3 linked regions of the Cricetulus griseus genome follow. The protein of the gene in region 1 interacts with the protein of each later gene in a pairwise test. Links are inferred from orthologs where the notes say so. Each region holds a gene or a part of one and is shown in the gene's direction. Other genes may lie near its edges.

Region 1 (5,293 bases):
CCCAAGTGGAACACCTGAACACAGTTCCCTGCTGAGCGGCCCAACACTGAGTTGAAAGGAGGCCCCAGGGGTGGGAGCAACTGCAAAGCAAGTTCCAGGCCATCCTGGGCTACATGAAACCCTACTGAAAACTGAAAATAAAGAAGCAGGAGAGATAGCTCAATAGTTAAGCACACACTGGAGCTGGAGAGATAGCTCAGCAGTTAAGAGCACTGACTGTTCTTCCAGAGGTCCTGAGTTCAATTCCCAGCATCCACATGGCAGCTCACAACTGTCTATAACTCCAATTCCAGGGGATCTGAACCTTCACACCAATGCATTTAAAATAAAGTTAAATAATTAAAAAAATAGTTAAGCACCCTGACTGCTCTTCCAGCACCCATATGGCAGCTCACAACTGTCAGCAACTCCAGTTCCAGGAGACCCAACACTCTCACACGGACGTGTATGCAGGCAGAAGACCAATGTACATAAAATAAAAACAAATCATTTTTAAAAACCAGGTGGTAGTGTCACACACCTTTAACCCAAGCACTAGAGACAGGTGAATCGCTGAGAGTTTGAGACCAGCCTGGTCTACAGAGCGAGTACCAAGGGCTATGTAGAAAGACCCTGTCTGGAAAAAGTAAATAAATAAAACAGATGTTTTAAATGAAAATAAAAAAGAGGGTTTGGAGAGATGACTCAGTAGTTAAGAGTGTGCGTGCTGCTTTTCCAGAGGACTAGAGTTCAGTTCCCAGCCCATGTATTTTGAACAGCTCACAATTGGTGGTAACTTCAGTTCCAGGGGGGGGATGTAATACCCTCTTCTGGGCCTCCTCAGGCACCGTCACCCATGTGGCACACACACATAAACCATTTATTTTTAATTCTTTTTGGTTTTTGGAGACAAGGTTTCTGTGTAGCTTTTGGAGGCTGTCCTGGCACTTGCTCTGTAGACCAGGCTGGCCTCGAACTCACAGAGATCCTCCTGCCTCTGCCTCCCGAGTGCTGGGATTAAAGGCTTGAGTCACCAATGCCCGGCAGAAGCCATTTTTTAGAAAAGATATTTTAAAAGTTATGTGTATCTGTGTAAGTACACGTGAGTATGTTTGATTGACTAGAGCTGGATATATACATATATAATATTTTTAAAAATTTATTTATTATACAGTGTTCTGCCTTCATGTATGCTATATGCCAAAAGAGGGCACCAAATCACATTTGTAGATGGTTGTGAGCCACCATGTGGGTTGCTGGGAATTGAACTCAGGACACCTGGAAGTGGAAGAGCAGCCGGTTCTCACACATCTGAGCCATCTCTCCAGCCCCTATAATTTTTGTTTTGTTTTGTTTTCTAAGGAAAGAGAAAGTTAATGAACTCCACCCCAGACCAGCCCAATCAGAATCAGAATATCTGAGGCTGCGGCCAATGTTTTTATTATTATTATTAATTATTTATTATTATTATTATTATTATTATTATTATTATTATTATTATTATTATTATTATTATTATTATTATGCCGTCTGGAGTCAGGATGATAGCTCCGCACCCTCCACGGAATCCCGCAGCTGCCATGCCAACTCCCGGTAAAAACGCCCCATCCTAAGAGCCCACGCTGCACGCTCTGAAACTACAGTTCCCACAATGCCTAGAGGCCCACGCGGCGCTCTTGGCATACTTCTCCCGAGGTGTCTTGCGAGCCCGACCGACCTCCTGACGCCGCAATGACTACAACTCCCAGAATGCTCGGAGACGCAACTACCGCCCCCTAGAGTGCCAAGCGGCGCCATGTCCTGAGCGTCCGGGCTCGGGCGGGGGCCGGCTGGGTGCGGCGGGGCTCGAGGCTGTCCGCGGCGATCCCACACACCGCAGCGTAGACATGGCGGCCCAGAAGGACCAGCAGAAGGATACGGAGGTGGAGGGGCTGAGCGCCACGTGAGCGAGCAGGGTGTAACCCCCCATACTCCCGAGCGTGGGGTCCCAGGCGTCCCGGCCCCCGGGCTTTGCAGAGGAGATGTCCCCCGGGGGCCGCGATGTGCTGGGATCTGGGGTCCGGGCCCTGGGACCGCTTGCGGCTGACCTGCCCCCGCCCCGCCCCGCCCTCCAGGACCCTGCTGCCCAAGCTGATTCCCTCCGGCGCCGGCCGAGAGTGGCTGGAGCGGCGCCGCGCGACCATCCGGCCCTGGGGCGCTTTCGTGGATCAGCAGCGTTTCTCGCGACCCCGCAACCTGGGCGAGCTTTGCCAGCGCCTGGTACGCAACGTGGAGTATTACCAAAGCAACTACGTGTTCGTGTTTCTGGGCCTCATCCTTTACTGCGTGTGAGTGCCTCGGCAGCCCCGCCCTCCTGCGCCAGGCCCCGCCCCCTGTTGCCAGGCCCCGCCCCCCGCCGGTTAGCTAGGCCCAGGGCCTTGTCACCCGAGCACCCAGGAGTCGGTCTGTATTCCTGAATCCACCCGAGCCGGGATGCAGTCTAGCCACCCCATGTGATGCCCAAGGCTAGAGGGAGCCGGCTCACACAGCCTCAGACGCCTGACTCCTGTCTCCCACACTCTTCCAGGGTGACATCCCCCATGCTGCTGGTGGCTCTGGCTGTCTTCTTTGGCGCCTGTTACATTCTCTATCTGCGCACGTTGCAGTCCAAGCTTGTGCTCTTTGGTGAGAAACCCCCCGCCCAAACGGATCCCCAGGTCCCACAGAACTGCAGACCTCCGAATATTTGGGAATCAAGTCGGTCCCACCGAGAGGTGCACTAGAGTCATTAAACTTAGTCCTTAAGGTCGCAGGTGAATACCCTCCAGTCTCAGCTCCCCAAAACCCAGGGAGAGCCCTAAAACCCCGGCTCCTGTGTCTCCTGTAAAATGAATCAGTCCTTCCCAATCCTCCCCGGGGAGAGCATCCGCTGCAGGTACCCACACTGGACACCAGGTGGCGACCGTGTGCAGGCCTAGGTCTGTCTGCCTTCCCATGCCTTCTGTCCCAGGGCTGAACTGGTAAGATACTAGATATTTCCAGAAGGGGAAACGGAGACCTGTCCGCCCACTGGGAAGAGAAGTGTCAGGGAAGACCCACTGAGAGGAAATCCCAGGTTTGCCAAGGAGACCTGTGACAGTCTTTCAGGTCCCAGACAGGTTACCAGAGGAAGATGGACTAGGGCCGAGCGAGAAGAGCCTGAAGCACAAGAGAACTTGGCCTTGGCAGATAGTAGTCACTAGGGCATACACAATTTCCAGACATAGGAGAGCCTGAAAAAAATTGTTTTGAGATAGGGTCTTCTTACGTAGCCTCGGCCTGCCAGGAGCTCACTCTGTAGACCAGACTGGCCTCCAACTCACAGATTTCCCCTGCCTCTGCCTCCTGAGTGCTGGGATTAAAGGAGTATGCAACCATGCCCTAGCCTTACAAAATTTGTTAAGCACCCAGAAGGCAGGCCCTCTGGGAAAGCAGCAAGTGCTCCTAACTGCTGGGCCGTCTCTCCAGTCCCCACAAACCAGATTCTTGTGAAACACTTCAAAGACAGACAGACGTTCTGGCTCATGCCTGTAATCCCAGCATTTGGGAGGCTGAAACAGGATGATTGCTGTAAATTCAAAACAAGCCTGGGCTTCAGAGTCTTTTAAAAAATCAAAATGAGCCAGGCATTGGTGGCGCACTCTTTTAATCCCAGCACTCGGGAGGCAGAGGCAGGCGATCTCTGTGAGTTCGAGACCAGCCTGGTCTACAGAGCGAGTGCCAGGATAGGCTCCAAAGCCACAGAGAAACCCTGTCTCGAAAAACAAACAAACAAACAAACAAAAATCAAAATGAGAGCTGGGCATGGTGGCACACACCTTTAATCCCAGCATTCGGGGTGAGGCTGGTGGATCTCTGTGAGTTCAAGGTCATCCTGGTCTACAAATCGAGTTCCAGAACAGCCAGTGCTATACAGAGAAACCCTGTCTCAAGTTTTTAAAAAACAAAAAATCAAAATAATGGTTTGGAGAGATGGCTCAGTGGTTAAAATTGAATTCTGTTCTTGAAAGGACCCAGGTTTTGTTCTCAGAACCCAATCCCCATGTCAGGTGACTGTCACAAGGCCACCTGTCACTCCAGCTTCTGGCCTCCATGGGCACCTGAACTCTTGTGCACATATGGCCACACAGGGTACATACACGTAATTCAAAGTAATAAATAAAATTATATAAGTTAAAAATAAGAAGACAAAAACCCTTAGGTCATGGACTGGAGAGATGGCTCCGGGGTTAAGAGCACTGACTGTTCTTCCAGAGGTCCTGAGTTCAATTCCCAGCAACCACATGTTGGCTCACAACCATCTGTAATGGGATCTGATGCCCTTTTCTGGCACGCACTGTATACATGATAAATAAATAAATCTTTAAAAAAAAAAAAAAACCCTCTTAGGTCAGACCTGGCAATGGGGCCACAAGGTTGAGAGTCCTGGTATCCAGGCTGGGACATGAGGCTAGCCTGGTCTGAGAGACAAGTGGCTTGGGAGGTCCTGGGGAGGGGGGGATAGAGAGCAGAGCTGGGGCTGAGGAAGGTGGTTTCATTCTGGTTATGTTTGGGGAAGCAGGATCAGGGATGGGAGGCCATAGAAACTAGACTTACTGAGGGCGGCTCTGGTTACCTCTGGGAAAGGGTCAGGTGGGCACAGCTGCCCAATACCATCTGTCCCCAGGCCGGGAGGTGAGCCCAGCGCATCAGTACGCCCTGGCTGGCGGTGTCTCTTTCCCCTTCTTCTGGCTGGCAGGTGCTGGTTCGGCCGTCTTCTGGGTCCTGGGTGAGTAAAGGGTCTGGGTCTGGTGAGCTTGGGAGCCAGATGAGAGAACACATCCTGAACTACCCATCCTCCTATAGGAGCCACCCTGGTGATCATCGGCTCCCATGCTGCCTTGCACCAGATAGAGCCTTCAGACGGAGAGGAACTGCAGATGGAGCCTGTGTAAGATGTCAGAACCTGCCTGCCTTGCCGGCTGCCAGGTCTGTCTGTCCTTGTCCTGCCCGGCCTTGCCTGCCCCTCATCCACCTCAGGCCTCAATTCCAAGGAGAGGCTTTGTCTTTGGAAATAAAGTTGTTACAGTTGCTACTTGGCAAACGCTTTCCTGGTATTTTCTCTTTTATAGGTAAGGAGAGGGTTTCCTGAGAAACGGGGGCTGGAGAGGTGGCTCAGCCAATAGGAGCACTAGGTTCAGTTCCCGGCACCCACAATGGCAGCTCATGCTTGTCTGTAACTCCAGCTGCTGGGGATCTACTCCCTCTGGCCCTCTCAGGTGCTTTGCACTCGAGCACACACACCTACACATAATTA
Region 2 (5,365 bases), on another chromosome or scaffold:
GCAAAGACGCTGGATCACTGAAGCTTTATGAGTCATATCAGTGAGCTCTGGGTTCAACTGAGAGGTCTTGCCTCAATGAATAAGGCAAGTAGTAATCCAGGAAGACTTTACTTCAGCCTCAGATCTCCACATGCATGTATCATACACACACAAAAAAAGAAAAGGTGCACATGTGTGCATGCATGTGTGAGTGAGTGAGTGAGTCTTCTGTGAATTGTTTTAAAATTTTAAATACAAATTGTGCTTTTAAGCCATTGTATTTCAACTTGCTGGGCTTTGTTTGTTACTTCCAGGTGTTGTAAGTCTTTTCCTTTCACTTTTTATGTTTAGTGGTGATGGCCAGATCTTCATTAAAATTAGTTATTATACCATGGAGCAAGAGGGGCACATTGATAAGAGTCAGGTTGGAATCGTAGATCTTCATATTCATAGTCTTTTGAGTCTCAGTCTAGTTTTAGCCAGAAAGAAAGGAACAAAGCCAGCGTTGGTTCTGTCAATACCGTGCTCATTGAGGTGAAGTACTTTCACTTGGTGAAGTACACCTCCTTTTCCCACTAGGGCATGGCAGAACAACCTGATTTGGGATGAATGGCTGCAGCCAGGAAGGAGTACGCTGTGGACTCTGGATTCTTATTTTTGCCAACTGCCTAGCATAAAAGAATTTAGAATTTGGTGTCAGTACCACCAGCCAAATTGTAGGCAATGTCTTTGCTTCTGGATTTTAACATATTTGATACTTGCAGTGCAGTTTAATAATGTAAGCATTGAATTAGGATCTGTTGTGTCTGATCCTAATAATCTACAGTTTCCTCTTGTACTTCCCAAGTCTGTTGTAATGAAATTGTTTTGCCTTTCCTGATTCTTTTCTAATAGTGGGACACAGCAGGCCAGGAAAGATTTCGAACAATCACCTCCAGTTACTACAGAGGAGCCCATGGCATCATAGTTGTGTATGATGTGACAGATCAGGTGAGTTCCTAGAGACTATTGTATGTGTGTAGATTTTCGACACACTGTGTAGTTCTGATTGACCTGGAAATTATTATGTAGACAGAATGTCCTTGAATACTTTTGATCTGAAAGTTATTTTTACCATTTGAGAAATTAAAAAAAAAAATAAAAATTAGCACTCATTTTTCTTGTAGCAAATGTTAAATCAACTCTTTGTGACTTATGGGCAATTTGGAAATAACTGAAGACATTTAGGAGCAAAAGATGGGTGAATGTGGGCAGGAAAAGAAAATGCTACATTAACATGATGTCGTGTGCCTGGGTTCTTGCTACTTGGGAGGCTGAGATAGGCTCTCAGAAGACTGAGACCAGTCTAGGCAGCACAACACAGCAGATCACATCTCAAAAAGGCCAACACCCAGAGCAGACAGAACATGTTACTTTTTTAAAATTTTATTTTTATTTTATATACATTGGTGTTTTGCCATGGGTGTTGGGTCCCCTGGAACTGGAATTACAGACAGCTGTGAGCTGCCATGTGGGTGCTGGGAATTGAACCCCGGTCCTCTAGAAGAGCAGTCAGTGCTCTTAACCACTGAGCCATCTCTTCAGCCCAGAACATGTTACTTTTAAACGTCCAGTCTATCACCATTATTTTGTTGTGTTTTGAGACAGAGTTTCTCTGAGTAGTCCTGGCAGTCCTAGAACTCTGTAGAACTCAGAGATCTGCCTGCCTCTGCCCTCTAAGCACTGGGATCAAAAGCATGTGCAATCACTCCCAGTCTACCATAAAATATTTTTGAGAAAAGAAAAAGGAAAAGGTCTCACCAAAAGTTTTTTTTTTTTTTTTTTTTTTTTTTAAACTAGTTTTCTCCTCCCCATCCACTCACTATCTTGTAGTGGCATTTAAGCTCAGAGATTTCTGCATGCCAGGAAGTAGTCAGTCCCTGAACTGTACCCTCGGGCCAAACAGTTATCTTTTTGATAGTAGTAACACTGCTGTTATTCATGACCAGTTTTTGTTGTTAATTTTTGTTTGGTTTATTTTGAGACAGGATCTCCCTTAAGGTAGTCCTGGCTGACGTGCAACTAACTGATTTTGTAGAATGGGCAGGCCTAGAACTCAGAGATCCACCTGCCTCTGCCTCCCTAGTTCTGGGATAAAAGCTGTGTCACTACTCAGTTTAAAAACCAGAATTCTACTAAATTTCAGAAACTAGGTTTTGTTAATATCTAAATTTCAACTTAAAATTGGGTTTGCCTGGGGGCTGGAGAGATGGCTCAGCGGTTAAGAGCACTGACTGTTCTTCCAGAGGTCCTGAGTTCAATTCCCAGCAACCACATGGTGGCTCACAGCCACCTTGAATGAGATCTGCATGCAGGCAGAAGACTGTATACATAATAAATAAAATCTTTAAAGAAAAAATTGGTTTGCCTGTCATTAAATATTAAACTGTTTCCCTTCCCAAATAAGCTATTTTCACTTCAAGCCTGCCAGTCCTCCTTATCATTCATTAGATGAACATTGTCATTGTAATATATTAGTTCATTTCTTTTCTTGCATTATAGTTATAGCTAGAGTTGCCACAAAATGAGCTGTTATCAGTTGATCATTGGTTGCATCCAAAACTGTATCATCATTCTTGTCTTTAGGAGTCCTTCAATAATGTTAAACAGTGGCTGCAAGAGATAGATCGCTATGCCAGTGAAAATGTCAACAAGTTGTTGGTAGGGAACAAATGTGACCTGACCACAAAGAAAGTAGTAGATTACACAACAGCGAAGGTATGTATGAGGTCTGATTTTCTAATTACTTAATTAATTTTGGGACAGGGTTTCTCTGTATAACAGCCCTGGCTGTCCTGGAACTCACTCTGTAGACCAGGCTGTTTTCGAACTCACAGAGATCCTTCTGCCTCTGCCTCCCAAGTGCTGGGATTAAGGGCATGTGCCACCACCACCTGTCGAGGTTTGATTTTCAAGTTGAATTTTAATTATGGGGACGGGAGTCATACAGTGGCTAAACTTTTAAAAGCCAGTGAATTTAGTCCTTCATTCCCATTTCAGAAAGCATTAACAGCAAGTTAGAAAGGTTTTCCAGTGTTGATTGTTCCTTATTACTCTCTCAGGAATTTGCAGATTCCCTTGGAATTCCATTTTTGGAAACCAGTGCTAAGAATGCAACGAATGTAGAACAGTCTTTCATGACGATGGCAGCCGAGATTAAAAAGCGAATGGGCCCTGGAGCAACAGCTGGTGGTGCAGAGAAGTCCAATGTTAAAATCCAGAGCACTCCAGTCAAGCAGTCAGGTGGAGGTTGCTGCTAAAATTTGCCTCCGTCCTTTTCTCACAGCAATGAATTCGCAATCTGAACCCAAGTGAAAAAACAAAATTGCCTGAATTGTACTGTATGTAGCTGCACTACAACAGATTCTTACCGTTTCCACAAGGTCAGAGATTGTAAATGGTCAATACTGACTTTTTTTTTTATTCCCTTGACTCAAAGACAGCTAACTTCATTTTCAGAACTGTTTTAAACCTTTGTGTGCTGGTTTATAAAATAATGTGTGTAATCCTTGTTGCTTTCCTGATACCAGATTGTTTCCCGTGGTTGGTTAGAATATATTTTGTTTTGATGTTTATATTGGCATGTTTAGATGTTGGGTTTAGTCTTCTGAAGATGAAGTTCAGCCATTTTGTATCAAACAGCACAACCAGTGTCTGTCAATTTCCATGCATAAAGTTTAGTGAGACGTTATATGTAAGATCTGATTTGCTAGTTCTTCCTTGTAGAGTTATAAATGGAAAGATTACACTATCTGATTAATAGTTTCTTCATACTCTGCATATAATTTGTGGCTGCAGAATATTGTAATTTGTTGCACACTATGTAACAAAACTGAAGATATGTTTAATAAATATTGTACTTATTGGAAGTAATATCAAACTGTATGGTGATAAGTATTGTTTTAATTCTTATGGTTAAAGGGAAATAGGGATTTGCATTATACTCAACAGCCAATTTGTGTGTGCAACAAGGGCACTGTAGACCTATCTAATAATAGCACAGCATCCAGTATTTGCTTTCTAGTAATAGACCTGCTAAGTGACCTAGAGAAGCTTCTGTGCTGTGTAGACTGAACCAAATTCATTGGTTCAAGGAGCTCAGAGTGTATGGAAAACAAGTTTAGAATGTGTGCTTTCTAGTGCTTCATCTCCAGCTCTAAAACCGTTGTCTGAAGTGGCTTCACTCAAACTTTCTTCATGCATCTGTGGTAGAGATGGAGAGCAGCACATGCTTTACTCCCAGGCAGTGATCTAGTAACATGTGCTGGTGCTTCCTCCATGCTCTGGCAGATGCCACACACCCACCCCACCCCACCTCACCTACCCCAGTTTTTGGGATTTTTATTTTTTGCTTTTAGAGACAGGGTTTCTCTGTGTAGTTCTGGCTGTCCTGGAACTTGCTCCGTGGACCAGACTGGCCTCGAACTCAGGGATCCACCTGTCTCTGCCTCCAAGTGCTAGGATTAAAGGCATGCACCACCATGCCTGCTTTATCTTTTTTCTTTTCTTTTTTGAGATAGAGTCTCACTATGTAACCCTGGCTGGCCTGCAACTTAGTATGTGCAGCAGGCTGGCCCCTAACAGAGATCCACCTGCCTTTTCCTCCCAAGTGGTGGGATTAAAGGCATGTACCACAATACTGAGACTGCAATGTTTTTTTGAGACAATGTCTCATGTAGTTCAAGAGGCCTCAAATTCACTTGTAACCAAGGATGGCCTTGAATTCCTGATCCTCCTGACTCCACTTCTAGGTGTCAACTTTTTATTCTTTCCAATTGTATAACTCATGTTGGAGGAGAGGTTAAACTTTAGAATAGAAAGCAGGAAATGTTGATTGCCCTAATTGTAGAAATTAAATCCCCCCAAATTAACTGAAAACATGGATGCTAGATGGGAATGATGAGAGAAATAATATATTTATTTCGGTGAAATTTTTGCATGTGTGAAGTTTTGTTGACTGGGACCTTCAAGGTCCTAGACTTTGCTTTTGTCTCACTGTGGGAAACCAAGTCTCTTTCAGACGCTAGCATTTAAGGTGACAGAGGTCAGAGGTTGTTTCCTTTGGTTTAAACAAGCAGGCAAACATTCTTTTAATTGGGGGCTTAGGATGTTGCTGCTGACAACACATTTTATTATGGGGTCTTTAATGATAAAATATTAAACTAAAAGTAAGCCAAAAATTACAGGTTTATTTTTCACTAAACAGACGATTGAAATACATGGTACAAAAATAAGTGGTAAGATTATTGTAAAATGAAAATGGACAGACTATTCAATTTAATTTTCCATCTATGAGAATTTCACAATAAAATCATAGTTTACTTTGTATTATAGATGTGCTTGTTGG
Region 3 (5,265 bases), on another chromosome or scaffold:
GAGTGAGATTGAGACTTCTGTGCCCAGCACTCAATTGCTGTGTCAGTGGCACATTTTAAACTCTGTATTTGGTGCCCTTGTGCAGTTTGCTGGCACATGCCTAGCAATGCCCTTTTAATATGTATTTAAGTCTAGCTAATTACTTCCTATTGAATGTATTTTGCTTTTGAGATTGCATGATAGAAAAGCCATCTAGTCTTATTTATTTCCTAATTTTGGATAGAGCTTGTAGGTTAAAATTATTTTATGGGAATTTTAAATTATGTTTCTTTAACTGTATAGAGAGACAGATTAACCATGTTTTGATGAGTTTATTTATATCTCTGCAATATTCTCTTCTTAGGTCCTCCTTCCTACTTTATGTATAAATCATTTAAATCCGAAGCTCAGATAATTAGAATATTCTAAGAAGTCAAACTTACCTCTTTCTAAGAGTCCAAGTTGGGGGTAAATTCTGAAGGGGTGTAGAAAGAGTCCTAGGATGCATGTAAATGTATTTTGAAAGCAGTTCTCATAGTCAAGCCTGTTTATGAAATGTGAGCGATGACGCTCTCAGCATGAATTGTAGTACACTAATGTTGTTTGATCATTTTCTCAAACAAAATACTCACACTGTTTGTCCTCTGTCTCTCGCTTCTTCTCTCTGTCTTTCTCTTTCCTTGAAGGTCTCAGCATCAGAGGAGCCCAGGAGGAAGACCCTCCCGACCCCCAGCTAATGAGACTGGACAATATGCTTTTGGCAGAAGGGGTTTCAGGTCCTGAGAAAGGTGGGGGATCGGCGGCAGCAGCTGCAGCCGCAGCAGCCTCTGGAGGTTCTTCAGATAACTCTATTGAACACTCAGATTACAGAGCCAAATTGACCCAGATCAGACAAATCTATCACACAGAACTGGAGAAATATGAACAGGTCAGCAGCCGCCACTCTCAGTCCTGCACAAACCCTCTGTTGCTCTTCTACTAGACTGTACTAACCAATTCCAAGGGCCATAAGGGGTAGGTGTTAACAGACTAAAATAAGTAAAAATGATGTACAAAACCAAGAGTGTTGTGGGAGCCATGAAATGAAGCTAACCCTCATATCCCTTTGTTCCAGTTTTTACATTCATGGTACCTAACTAGCACACCTGTAAGCCCTTCTTTCCCACTTCCTTCAACCTTGCACTTGGTGCCATGCAGAGCTATGGAGAATTCAGCCTAGGCACTACTTTGTTCATAAACTTTAACCACTGACAAAAAGAGAAGCATCATTGCATAGTGAGTTTTTTTGTTTGTTTGTTTGTTTGTTTGTTTTTTTATCTCATACACTGTGAGTTCTAAGACCCTACTGGGAATTAATTCTATGGATTGTGCTCGACTATGTGGAAGGAATTTCTGGGATCATTTGAGGCTGAGACTCCTGGTTAATTGTGACTGTTCCAGGATAGGGTAGAGTAGGCATTGTGTGCTAAACCCTGATCACAAAGAATAAGGAATTAAAAATCTTCTCAGCAATCTTACTAGCCATACTTCATTGAGCCTCAGGTATCTTTTGAGTTTAAGCTGTGTCACTGTTCTATGTGCCAATAGCAGAAAGTCACATTGCCAATTTAACTCTAGCATGCTATCAATTACCTAATGACTCCAGATTTCCAGAAACCCCTATTAGTTAAAATGTGAGGGAAATAAGTGTTTCCTGGATTAACCATAATATGGTAAAATGTGGGTAATCAATTTTAACATATTTTAGTTAGTAATTTAGGGCTATAGTTCTACTTAGATTAAGGACTTCTCATTAACATGGATTCTCATTTAAAAGGTCTTTAGAAGATTCACTATTAGGTCAACTTTTGAACATACACAAAAATAGATGTTAGGTTGAGTCTGATAAAATAGATACTGTATTTTAGCAGTTATTCATAATGCCCATACACTTAGTGGGAAATGTATATGTGTTTTGGGGGTGGAGGGGTGTTCCTGGTGATTTTCCTTTCCTTAAAAAAAATTTAAGATCAGTTTTAGTTTCATGGCAATATTATCTCAGAGATGTCTCCATGCTCCCTGCTCCCATATATGCATGGCTTACTTAGTAACACAACCTGCCAGAGAGGTCTGTTTGTTACTTACAGCTCATGAACCAGCATTGACACATCAGCACCTCAAGTCCACATTCTGTTATGGAGCAGTCCTAGTCTCATGCAGTCTGTGCACTCAGAAAGATGCCTATGCTTATAGCACCTGAGAACATTTCCACTGCCCTAATGGTTCTTGTTGCACTCCTCCCTCCCTCCCTCCCTCCCTCCCTCCCTCCCTCCCTCCCTCCCTCCCTCCCTCCCTCCCTCCCTCCCTTCCTCCCTCTCCCTCTTTTCCCTTTCCCCCTTCTTACCTACCCCATGGATCTCTGGAAGCCACTCTTTGGTTTTAGTACTGAGTTTTCACAGTTCTCTAAATAGTTTCCATTGTATATGTTGGCCCTTTACCCTGTCTTTTCTTACATTCTGAGAATGATGGCATTGAACATCTTTATCCCAGAGGTGAGTGTTCTGAGGAAGAGTAGAAAGATACAATGCATGTTAAAATGAAGTGCAAATTAATATTATAAAATTTTCTAATTTGGGGCAAAACTTTCTGGTATTCAAAACTATGTTTCATTTGCAAGGATAAATTTTGCTAGAGAATGTTCGGACAAGAACTTTGAAAAAATTGTGTATGTGTACCAAAAAAATACAGCTTTCTGATTTGACATGAATAATTGAGAATAAACAAAATAAGTCACAGTTGAAAGGTTGCCCTGAGCATAAACAGTAGAAAATGGTTCTAGTTTGTAGTATAATCCTAATTTCATAACTTTATGTTAAATAGGTCTATGCATATTTACCAGGCAACTACCATTAGTCACCTTGCATAGAAACTGGCATATTGGGGACCAAATTGTCACATTGTACTGGTTGTTCCTGACTGTCCTCTGTCACAGTACTCTTTCTTCATACCAGATTTACTGCTTCATCAGATGGCCCTGTTAGAAGTTGGATGAAGCTGCCATCAGCAGAAGGCAAGGACTCAAGCCTTCTTATCTTAGAAATGCCCTAAAAATTTCCCATGAGACATCAGTGGCTTCAGTCTCAGCTACTACCAGGATCATCTCACTAGGGTGTGTGTGTGTGTGTGTGTGTGTGTGTGTGTGTGTGTGTGTGTGTGTGTGTTTTGCCTTAAAAATGCATACTATATATAAGTTCTACATAAAGTAATTGATCATATTTGAATTAAATATAAAATTGAGAAATAACAAATTTAAATGTTATAATGGACCATATTTCTGGATATAGTTAGTGGCTTCATAGATACTTTAATGCATGTTTTCTTCCTGTTTCTTAACATGTTCAAAAGGACATGTATAGAAATGTGGAATCTCTGCAGCACTGTGGGCAGATTGTGATGAAGTGATGGTAGATACAGCTGAGTTCTACTTTACACACTTCATAAGCTCCCAGTTGTTTACAGATGATGTATTGGTGTTTGACCTCTTGAGTTGTCTTTGGACAGCTTTAGAGCTGTGTTTTTGTCAGTGCTGTTCTACAGGAAGAAATTTTCCTCTGTTTAGACACAAGAACAAAGGGCTTTGATTACTTGAATAGTTAAAGATAGCTGAGTGAGGGCAAGGAGTGACATTTCTAAAATAGATAGTATTGCATTTCCATTCTCTAAATGAGGTGATTGTCCAGTGTCACATACTAGTGTAAGAATCAGGAATCAAATCAGGTTCTGATCATCTGCCATCCTTGTCTATTTAGTTTTATTGCTTCATACACAGAACTGGAAAATAATGCATGCTATCATACTCAGGCATCCTCAGATTGGCCCATGTTGGTTTGTGTTTGAAACAGAAACAGATGAAAGCAACTGTCTTAAAGACTTCCAAAAAATATATTTCCACCTTAAAAGTGATCATGGGGATGCTGAGTGACAGAACATTTATCAGGAAGTAGGAAGACTGTATATGTCAAGGCAGAGGCTTTGTTGGGAGATTCTGTGAGTCTCAAAGAAATAAACCACATCAGAATCTTAAGCGGTATTTACTCTGCTGTGTTTTGCAATGAAGCTGTAATGAAAATGTATCTGAAGCCTGTTCAGATTTAGATTGCCATAAAATTAACAAACATCACCACTGCAGTAAATTAAAGAACCTGGCAAGTTTAAAGCGCAGCCATACTCACAGTGAGCAGTCTAGTGCTGCAGCAGGAGCAAAATCACATCTAAGCTGCAAGGCTCAGTTTTACCTATTAGGGAAGGATTGTCTTTAGACTTCTGTTCTTTCCCTCCGGAAAATGTTCTTTGATCATCCATCTCTATTTCATAGACTGGGAGATTTGATGATTTTAGAGATAATCATCCAACTTCACTTATAAATGTTTTTGAGATGTTAAATGTTGGATGGGCATAGTGAGGTATTTAAATGTTACCACTACCCAGTAGGAAACAATACCATTCTCCTGTGGTCTTGCTGCTCTGACACCTAGCTGGAATATGATAGTTTCCCAGAGCTTCCAGCAAGCACCTTCATACTTCATCTTGAGTTTATTGCTTTCTTCTGCTTGAGAGACAAACCTCCATCTTCTTGATTAGCTACAAATCTTGGAAAATGCCTTTACTGTATTTTCCAATGTTCCTATGGCTAGAGGCCTAGCTGTTAGAATAGATGAATTCTGAATGAACTTAAGCCCTGGTGCTAATGAGTCTTGTTTTTAAGAACTGAAGCTCTTGGTTGAGCTGTGCTTTCTTGGTTTCTCTACCTTGTTATCAAAAGGGAATGGACACACTGGTTTTTGCAAATGAGATCTGACCTCAGTGTTGTCCTCAGTTGAAAAGGAAAACATATATCATGATCAATGCAGTTCTCCCACTCTGCTTGTAGCAGAAGAAATGCTGTATACAGGCAATTCATGTTGTAATTTACAGCTGCTGTAATAGAGATGACACATTGTAAGCTATCTACTATAATTATACTGAAATACATTTTTGCTTAAGGCAAAAGTATTTTAAGGTTCCCAGCCCTTCTTAAGCATCTGGAAAGCTGCTCTTTGAATTCATCCCAAATCCACTAAAACACTAGAACCAGACCTGAACTCTGTGCTCAAATCCAGGTACCATTTGGCATTTGCAAGAGACTACAAAGAATTACTGAACTTTTTGGAGATTCCTGGGGAATGGAGGATGGAAGAATTTAAGCCACAATAAAGACCATGTTTGTGGTTATGGAGTGTCCCTACATTATATACTTAAATTTTGCTG

What was found.
Region 2: the proteins of Rabac1 (region 1) and Rab1a interact in a two-hybrid assay, tested with the Homo sapiens proteins (2 studies listed by BioGRID and IntAct). The link is inferred for Cricetulus griseus from reciprocal best matches to the Homo sapiens genes RABAC1 and RAB1A.
Region 3: the proteins of Rabac1 (region 1) and Pbx3 interact in a two-hybrid assay, tested with the Homo sapiens proteins (2 studies listed by BioGRID). The two-hybrid records come from large-scale screens. The link is inferred for Cricetulus griseus from reciprocal best matches to the Homo sapiens genes RABAC1 and PBX3.

Annotation. Positions count from the first base shown.
Region 1 is NC_048602.1:9,713,549-9,718,841, reverse strand, and holds Rabac1 (prenylated Rab acceptor protein 1), read left to right. Parts: upstream 1-1,747; 5' UTR 1,748-1,865; coding exon 1,866-1,921; intron 1,922-2,093; coding exon 2,094-2,306; intron 2,307-2,545; coding exon 2,546-2,643; intron 2,644-4,663; coding exon 4,664-4,765; intron 4,766-4,842; coding exon 4,843-4,931; 3' UTR 4,932-5,080; downstream 5,081-5,293. UniProt on the Homo sapiens protein: General Rab protein regulator required for vesicle formation from the Golgi complex. May control vesicle docking and fusion by mediating the action of Rab GTPases to the SNARE complexes.
Region 2 is NW_023276807.1:86,261,674-86,267,038, reverse strand, and holds the end of Rab1a (ras-related protein Rab-1A), read left to right. Parts: intron 1-873; coding exon 874-969; intron 970-2,604; coding exon 2,605-2,736; intron 2,737-3,080; coding exon 3,081-3,278; 3' UTR 3,279-3,898; downstream 3,899-5,365. UniProt on the Homo sapiens protein: The small GTPases Rab are key regulators of intracellular membrane trafficking, from the formation of transport vesicles to their fusion with membranes.
Region 3 is NC_048599.1:145,944,817-145,950,081, reverse strand, and holds part of Pbx3 (pre-B-cell leukemia transcription factor 3), read left to right. Parts: intron 1-665; coding exon 666-907; intron 908-5,265. UniProt on the Homo sapiens protein: Transcriptional activator that binds the sequence 5'-ATCAATCAA-3'.